Tamandua tetradactyla: one gene and its partner. The protein of the gene in region 1 interacts with the protein of each later gene in a biochemical or structural test. Links are inferred from orthologs where the notes say so. Each region holds a gene or a part of one and is shown in the gene's direction. Other genes may lie near its edges.

Evidence for each region.
Region 2: the proteins of ITGB2 (region 1) and ICAM1 form a complex in vitro, tested with the Homo sapiens proteins (4 studies listed by BioGRID). The link is inferred for Tamandua tetradactyla from reciprocal best matches to the Homo sapiens genes ITGB2 and ICAM1.

The regions. Positions count from the first base shown.
Region 1 is NC_135336.1:107,129,979-107,133,721, reverse strand, and holds the start of ITGB2 (integrin beta-2), read left to right. Parts: upstream 1-838; 5' UTR 839-1,036; intron 1,037-3,743.
Region 2 is NC_135337.1:91,498,969-91,502,711, reverse strand, and holds the start of ICAM1 (intercellular adhesion molecule 1), read left to right. Parts: upstream 1-1,066; 5' UTR 1,067-1,117; coding exon 1,118-1,193; intron 1,194-2,739; coding exon 2,740-2,997; intron 2,998-3,743. UniProt on the Homo sapiens protein: ICAM proteins are ligands for the leukocyte adhesion protein LFA-1 (integrin alpha-L/beta-2).

The DNA.
Region 1 (3,743 bases):
CTGGCTGCTCCCTTCCCTAGGGGAGAGAGAGGTCGCCCCCACACTGCAGGGGCGCTGGGGGACGGCTGACCTTTCACAGCAGGTCCTTCCGCCGAGGCCCAAGCCAGAGTGGCCTGGGCACCCCCCCTTGGGGTGCCTGTGGGAACGCGGGAGCTGGTGCTGCTTCATGAGAGTTTCAGCCCGGGGCCCCCCTGGGCTGGCCGTGGGCCAGCGAGACTGCATCCTGACAAGCAACCCAGGCCCAGGGTTTCTGGGTTCCCGTGTGAAAACCCCGGCCCCCCACACCAGGGCCCTGCACCTGAGTGTGCAAACAGAGCGGGCCTTCACAGGGGCTGTGGTGGCAGCCATGTGGTCACGTGGTGCCCATGTCCACTCTCTGCCCTTGACAGGGGCCACCACCCACCCGGCCCCGAGCCAACCTGGAGGGGACTGTCCTCTGCCCCCTTCTCCCCTTCAACCCTTGGGACACACAGCCGCCGTGACCCCCTCCTCACATGGTGGAGAGGAGACCAAGACCCCGAGAGGGTACCCCCCAGGCCTGCGCACCTCCACACAGTTCCCTGGACATGAGCCAGGGGTCAGCTCCCCGGCAGTTAGGGACAGGGCCGACCCCCCGGGTGGGACATGCCTGTCAGTCCTGCGGTGGGACCCCCAGGTGCGCCCAGGGACGTGGCAGGGAGCTGGGTTCCACTGAGGCGGGTCCCCTGGAGGGAGGTGAGGAGGCCGAAGGTGTGGGGGGCTGATGCGAGGGTCTGCCCACGTGCTTTACCTGTCCCCCCAAACCTCCGCCCACAGGAACCCGCCTTCCCCTGGGGCGGGGAGGCCTCGGAGCCCCGCCCCTCCCCTGCTTCCTTCTTCCTCCATCCCCTCCAGGGCCGAGAAGCCCAGCGCCTCCCTGGCACCTCGGTGCTGTAAAGTGAGCAGGGCGCTCCTTCATTCCCGCTCATTGCGGGCCAAGAAACTGGCGCAAAGATTAAATTAATCCCCCAGTTTCAGGAGCTGGAAAATAGCAGCAGAAACTTCAGAGGGAAGAAACGTAAGTCAAGGGGCAGTCCCACTCTCAGAGCACGGCGGATGGCTGTGATTTTCCCGCGCGGGGGTCCCATGCGTGCCCCGTCCTCACGCGGTGTGGGCCCGGCGGGCGGGGCCCAGCCCCAGCCTCCTCCTCCATGCCGCCCGGGCTGACCCCAGGCAGAGGCATTGTGAGAAAGCACCCGTGGAAACTGAGTCACAGGGCTCTGTGGTGGAAGCACACGCTTTGACAAGGCAGCCAGACTTTCAATGGCCAAGCTTCCCCGAAGCCAGCCCTGGGGGACTCGGTTTGAGGATGGGTTCAAAGCAGAAATTGAGCAGGAAATTGCAGTTTTGATAAGCGTCAGGCAGAAGAGGCGCTGTATGCTCCAAGGGCAGGTGGGGACCCCAAGTCTAATGGGGTGGGCCTGGGTGAGGCTCCCCACCTCCTGCAGGGGCCCCCCAAAGCCAGCCCAGCCTCTGTGGTGCCCGAGGAGGGGAGCTGAAGGGCAGGAATGCCTGGGCTGCCCCCGCGTGAGTGGATGAGGGCGTTCACTGTGCACCCCATCCCGCCCCCCCTTTCATGGATTTGTGTCGGTTTTGTTTGTAATCCACGTTCACTGCTTTAGTTAGTCTAACCACGTAAGTGTCCCCTACTGAGCCGAGTGGACACAGGACCATCACGTTTTCCTCCTTGATGACTCTTTGTTGTCCCCCTTCCCCTGGAGTCCACAATTGCTCAATGTTTTTACTTGCTTAATTTCCTCTGAATTTACAAAAAGTCGCCTCTTTCCTTCCTGCCACGTCAGACGCGCCCCCTCGTCGTGGGTTCTGACGAGGGTTGGGGAGCAAGAGGGCCCTGGGCCCCGCTGGCCCTCCCCCCCCGCCGCCCCCTCCTGCTACCCCCTCTCGGGGCCACCGCTCGCCACCCCCCCGACCCCGGGAGGCACCGGCTGCAAAGGGGAAGGCTGAAGGAGGAAGGAGCTCTCTGTGGGTTGGGGGGGCCGTGCAGGGGGTGGGGGTGAGGCACCAGCCAGCCTCGGGACAGCACGGGGGTGGGGGCAGCCCCAGCCTCTCGCACCCCGGCCGCCTTCTCGCCCGAGCCAGCCCCCACCCCGCCTGCCCAGGGACAGGAGTCGCCCTCTGGGGCCTCCGCGGTGCCCTGGCTGGGTGATCAGGGCGAGCAGAGGTGCGGCCCGGTCTTCCAGGGCGGGGGGTTCCGATGAGAAAGAAGCCCTCGGAGCCAGCACCCCGCATCCAGCGCTGCCGTTTCCTGCCACGCTCACCTGCCCCTGCGCCCCACGCATCTCTGGGTGCTGTGCCCGCCCCCCACCCCTACCGTGGGGCCACAGCCCAGTTGACATTGCAACGGGAAGTTACTGGTGGGAAGAAATGTTGGACAGCGGGGGCGGGGAAGGGCCCAGAAAAGACAAGGGCTGGATGGGAGGGAGGAAGTTGGCAGAGGCGCGGGCGCCGGGAGCGGGCAGGGGGCGCAGGAGGGGCCGGCTCGGCTGAGCATAGGCCACGCTCCCAGAGGTGTGGACCTTCCTGCCAGCGTGGGACAGAAATTCTAGGATGGGCTGGGACTCAGCACCAAGGGATTGAGAAAACCTTCTGGACCAAAAGGGGGAAGAGGGAAATGAGTCAGATTAAGTGTCAATGGCTGAGAGATTCCAAACAGAGTCAAGAGGTTATCCTGGAGGTTATTCTTATGCATTAAGTAGATATCACCTTTTTAGATAAGGTGTAATGGAGAGGCTGGAGGGAACTTCATGAAAATGTAGAGCTGTGTTCCAGCAGCCATGTTTCTTGAAGATGACTGTATAATGATATAGCTTTTGCGATGTGACTGTGTGACTGTGAAAACCATATTTACCTTATGGACAGATGAGTAAAACATATGGATTAAAAATAAATAAATAATAGGGGGAACAAATATTAAAATAAATTTAGTAGATTGAAATGCTAGTGATCAATGAAGGGGAGGGGTAAGGGGTATGGTATGTATGAATTTTTTTGTTTTCTTTATATTTCTTTTTCTGAATTGATGCAAATGTTCTAAGAAATGATCATGATGATGAATACACAACTATGCGATGATGTTGAGTTATTGATTATGTATCAAGAATGGAATGATCATACGGTCATGATCACATGGTAAGGATGTCTGCATTTGTATGTGGTTATGTCCAGTGCCCTCTCCTTGGTGGACACTTCCAGAAGCCTCTGTACCGGTTCGGTTCTGTGTGTCCCAGGGCTGTGTCTGGGGCTGGGCAGTGCAGTGGGGGGTGCACAGACCGGAGCTCAGGGCAGCCGGCCCGTGGGAGGCCCCCAGCCCCTCACCCTCTCCCCTCCTGGCTGCCCGGCGCCCCCCTGCCTGGACGGCCCTTTGGGGGCTCCCTCTCCTCCTGCCGTTCCCACGGCAGCTTTGCCCCCTACACTGGACCCGCACAGGGCCCCAGCACAGGGAAAGTCCTCCCTGAGTGTCTGATGAGGTATACGGAACTTTCTGGAAGGTGGAGGCGAAAGTGACCCAGACGGAGTTCCCTGGCTGATTTGTGGCAAAGATGACTCCCAGCACGCTGCTTCGCCCTCCGGCAGGGTGTTTGGCTAAAAACAGCCAGAGGCTCCCGTGCTCCTGGCTGCAGAGCCCGGGGACCGGCTCGGGGCTGTGGGAGCAAGTCAGCACCCACCACGCGGTGCCGACCCCGCAGACGTCCCCATTCCGGGGG
Region 2 (3,743 bases), on another chromosome or scaffold:
TTCACGCGCAGGCCGTGGCCCGAGGGAGCGACATCGAGGTCGTCGGAAAAGCCCCCGCCTCCCCCACCCCCACGGCCTAATGAAGCCAGTCCGGGTAAACATTGGCGCATATTTAGTGCCGGCTCCCAGGTTTCGAGGGGCGGGAGCTGCGCACCCAAGGGCAGTGATACAAGCGCCCCTCTCCGCGCCCTACGGAGAGCAAGAGTAGGGTTCCAGCACCCCCTGTCTCTGTCCGGGTCAAGGGCTGAGCTGCTGCCTCAGTTTCCCCGCGGAGCCCGAGACCACACCGAAGCCAGGCGGCTCCGAGCGTTAGGACCAAGCAGCTTCCTTCCTTTTTTGGCAGAAAGGGGAAGCGAAGCCGTGGGGGTGGGCGCGCTCATGGTGGGGGGTGAGTGCGGAGCGCCGTTTGACCCCCCGGACTTGACGACGCCTCCCGCTGTCCTCCCCCGTGGTCACACGGCACCTCGAGGTGCCTGAACTTGCCTCCACCACTTCTCGGGAAATCTCGAGGTCAGCCAGGCGGAGGTGCCCGGACATGCCTCTGGGGGGAAGAGGCGCCCTCCATCCGAGGGTGGGCCCCCACCCCAGCGAGGGGCTCGCCCCCACTCGGTTAAAGGAATGGGTCTGCACGAGCTGGGGACTCAGTCCTGGGTTCGAATCCCTTCGCGGCTCGGAGCCTCAGTTTACCCGTCTGTAAAACAGGACACCCCAAACCCGTCCCTCCTCTCCAGGGTGGCCGGAAGCGCTGTGTGCCATCATGCGCTCAGCAGCTCCATGTCAACGCTCAATCCAGGTTGACCCCGCCGGGGTGGGGGGGGGGACGGGACTGCCACCACCACCCTCCCCCCGCGCCCCCCGGGATTGCCTCAGCACGGAAATTCCGGTGCTCGAGCGGCCGGCGAGCGGCAAAGACTCCGCGCGGGCCCGGCGCCCTCTCGATCCGGAAATGCCTGAGGCCTGCTTCGAAGGGGGAAGGCGCGAGGTTTCCGGGAAGGCGACACCGCCCCCGGCCCCCTGCGGCCAGGACCTATAAAGGGCGGCCGCGCGCCCTGCGCCGCAGCCAGCGCCCTGCAGCCCTGCGCTTCGGTGCATCCCTCCCGCCCTGCTCTGCGTCGCTATGGATCCCGGCCGCACCCGCCCCGCGCTCCCCGCGCTCCCCGCGCTCCTGGCCCTGCTCGGGGCTCTGCTCCCAGGTGAGTTGCAGGCGGGGGTCGGGGTGGGGGTGCGCCCCGTCGGGGAGCAGCGGCTCCGGGACCGCAGGCGTTAAGACCGATCGAACTTAGAAAACGTGTTTATCTCCGAGTGAAGTGGCCCAGGGCCTTTATGGGGGACCCCTGATCGGAAAAGAACAGCGGTGGATTCGAATCCAGACCTCGCGCCTCCAGAACCTCAGATTTCCCAGTTGTAAAAGGCAGAACTTGAGAGCCCTGCGACGCCAGGAGGCTGCCAGTACCTGATAGGAACGAGGGGGACCCCGCCCCCAAGCTGCACAGGCTCAGGGACCCCTCTCCACCCTATCCCCCCAGCCCCCACACGAGCACACTTTCTGTTCCTTATCCTCTGACCCGGGGGATCTCCAGGATTGCTTCGCTCAGGGGAATTCCAGAACGGTCTTACCCAGGGGCAGATTCTGAGAGCTGGGAGGCGGGGAGAAGCACCCAGCCAGCCCTTCCCTCCAACTTCAGCCAGCCCAGCTGGGGACTGGGGAAGGGGGGGAGGAAAACGAGTCTCAACTGATGGTCCTGCTGGGTAGCAGGAGCTTGGAAGTTTGTCTCTAGGCTCTAGTGCCAGCTCAAACCCTTTCTAGCTGAGCCACCCCTCTCCCGACCTCACCATTTCCCTCTGTGAAATGGGAATGATCTGAGAACCACTGTCAGATGGTTTTTGTAGTCCCTGTCCACTCTCCACCCCCACCTCCATGCTAGATCTGAGCAGATCTAAGAAGGCAGGAATCTTTTGGGGGGTGGGAGCTCAGAGAGACTCCAGGGTCTGATCGGAGTTAATGAAAATGACCCCCTCCTTGCCTTCTTCCCTGCAGCCTCTTGCTCCCTGTGGGGCGCCAGGAGTTACTAACATGGTGGGCAAGGGGGTGGGGTGACTATACTCTCCCAACTTACAGATGGGAGTGTGAAGGAGCCCAGAGAAAGGAAACCACTTGTCCAAGGCAGCGAACACCAGCCTGATTGGAAAGCCCTCAGTTCCTAGAAGACTGGCTCCTCTCACCTGACCTCTCAGGAGGGACCCCAGAACCCACTGCAAGTCCCATGACTTCTCATTGCATTCAGAATAAAGGACACGTCCTCAGCCTGGCCTCCACTGCCCGCCTGATGGGCCTGACCTCATTTCCTTGCCCGCTTGACCCCAGCCATGCTGCCCCAGGACCTTTGCACTTACGGTTCCCTTAATGTGGAACTCACTTCCTTTTTCCCTGGGCAGCCAGCTCCTTATCACTCAGCTCTCTGCTGAGAACGCACCCTGCCATGTAAGCGCTCACTTTTCTGTCCCTAGCACTTTGTTTCTTGTCAAAATCCTTATTGACATTGGTTATTGACTGCCTTGTTTACTCGTGAACTTTTCTGTCTCCCACAACTAAATCAGGGAGTTTTGTCTGGTTCACAGCTGTGGCCCGGGCCCCCAGCCTGCGCTGGGCACACAGTCAGTGCTCAATACACGTTGTCGATGCCCCCAACTTGTATATGCCTGCCCCCTCCTTAGAGTTAAACAACCCTTTTCTTCCAGGGTCTGGAAGTACCCACACGTCAGTGGACCCCCCAGAAGCCATCCTGCCCCGAGGAGGTTCCGTGCGCGTGAACTGCAGTGCCAGCTGTGACCACCCCTCCTTCTTGGGCCTGGAGACCACACTGACCAAGATGGAGGTGGCCAATGGAAGCAACTGGAAGGTCTTTGAACTGAGCGACGTGGACCAAGACAGCACTGCGATCTGCTTCTCATATTGCAACAAACAGACCATAGCTTCCACTGCGCTCACCGTTTACTGTGAGTGGCTGGCCCGAGAGGGCAGGGACGCAAGCCCCACCCCCACCCCCCACCCCGCAGCCTGGGAGGGCCTTGGGTGCTCAGTGGTGGATCTGGGGAAGACTGCCTTGGAAAGTTCCAGCACCGTTTGGGAGCCTTTCTTTGGATCTCCTTGGGTGTAATTTAGGGCATGGGCAGGGAATTGGCACATTCGATATTCCAGACAGCTAGTTTCATGTGCCTCCCTTTAAAAAAATTTTTTTTTTATTTTGAAATAACTTCAAACTTACAGGAAAGACGCAAAAACAAACAAAAAACATAGATACACCTATGTCCCCCTTCCCCAGATATACCAGCTTTTAACATTTTGCCCCATTCGTTGTATCATTCTAGAAATCCATCTGTCTTCTAAACATTTGCAAGCACACTGAATACATCACGCTTTTTGAACAGTTGCTACTTCCATGCACATTTCCTGAGAACAAGCATAGCCATTCATGTCACCACCTTAAGTGCAGTTATCAAGTTCAAGAACTTTGACATGCAGACTTGTATCCCAATTTTTCCAAATGTCCCAATCATGTCTTTTCACAGGCCTCACTCTTTCAATGCACGGCAAGGCCGTATAGCTGACTTTTTAAAAATGAAGATGCAAATTTAAAATACCCCTGAGATGGCACCTTTAGCCTATTGATAACAACCAGATGAACTGATAACGGCTCCAACAAGGGTTGGCGAGTTGTGGGGTGGAGGGGCGGGAAAATAAA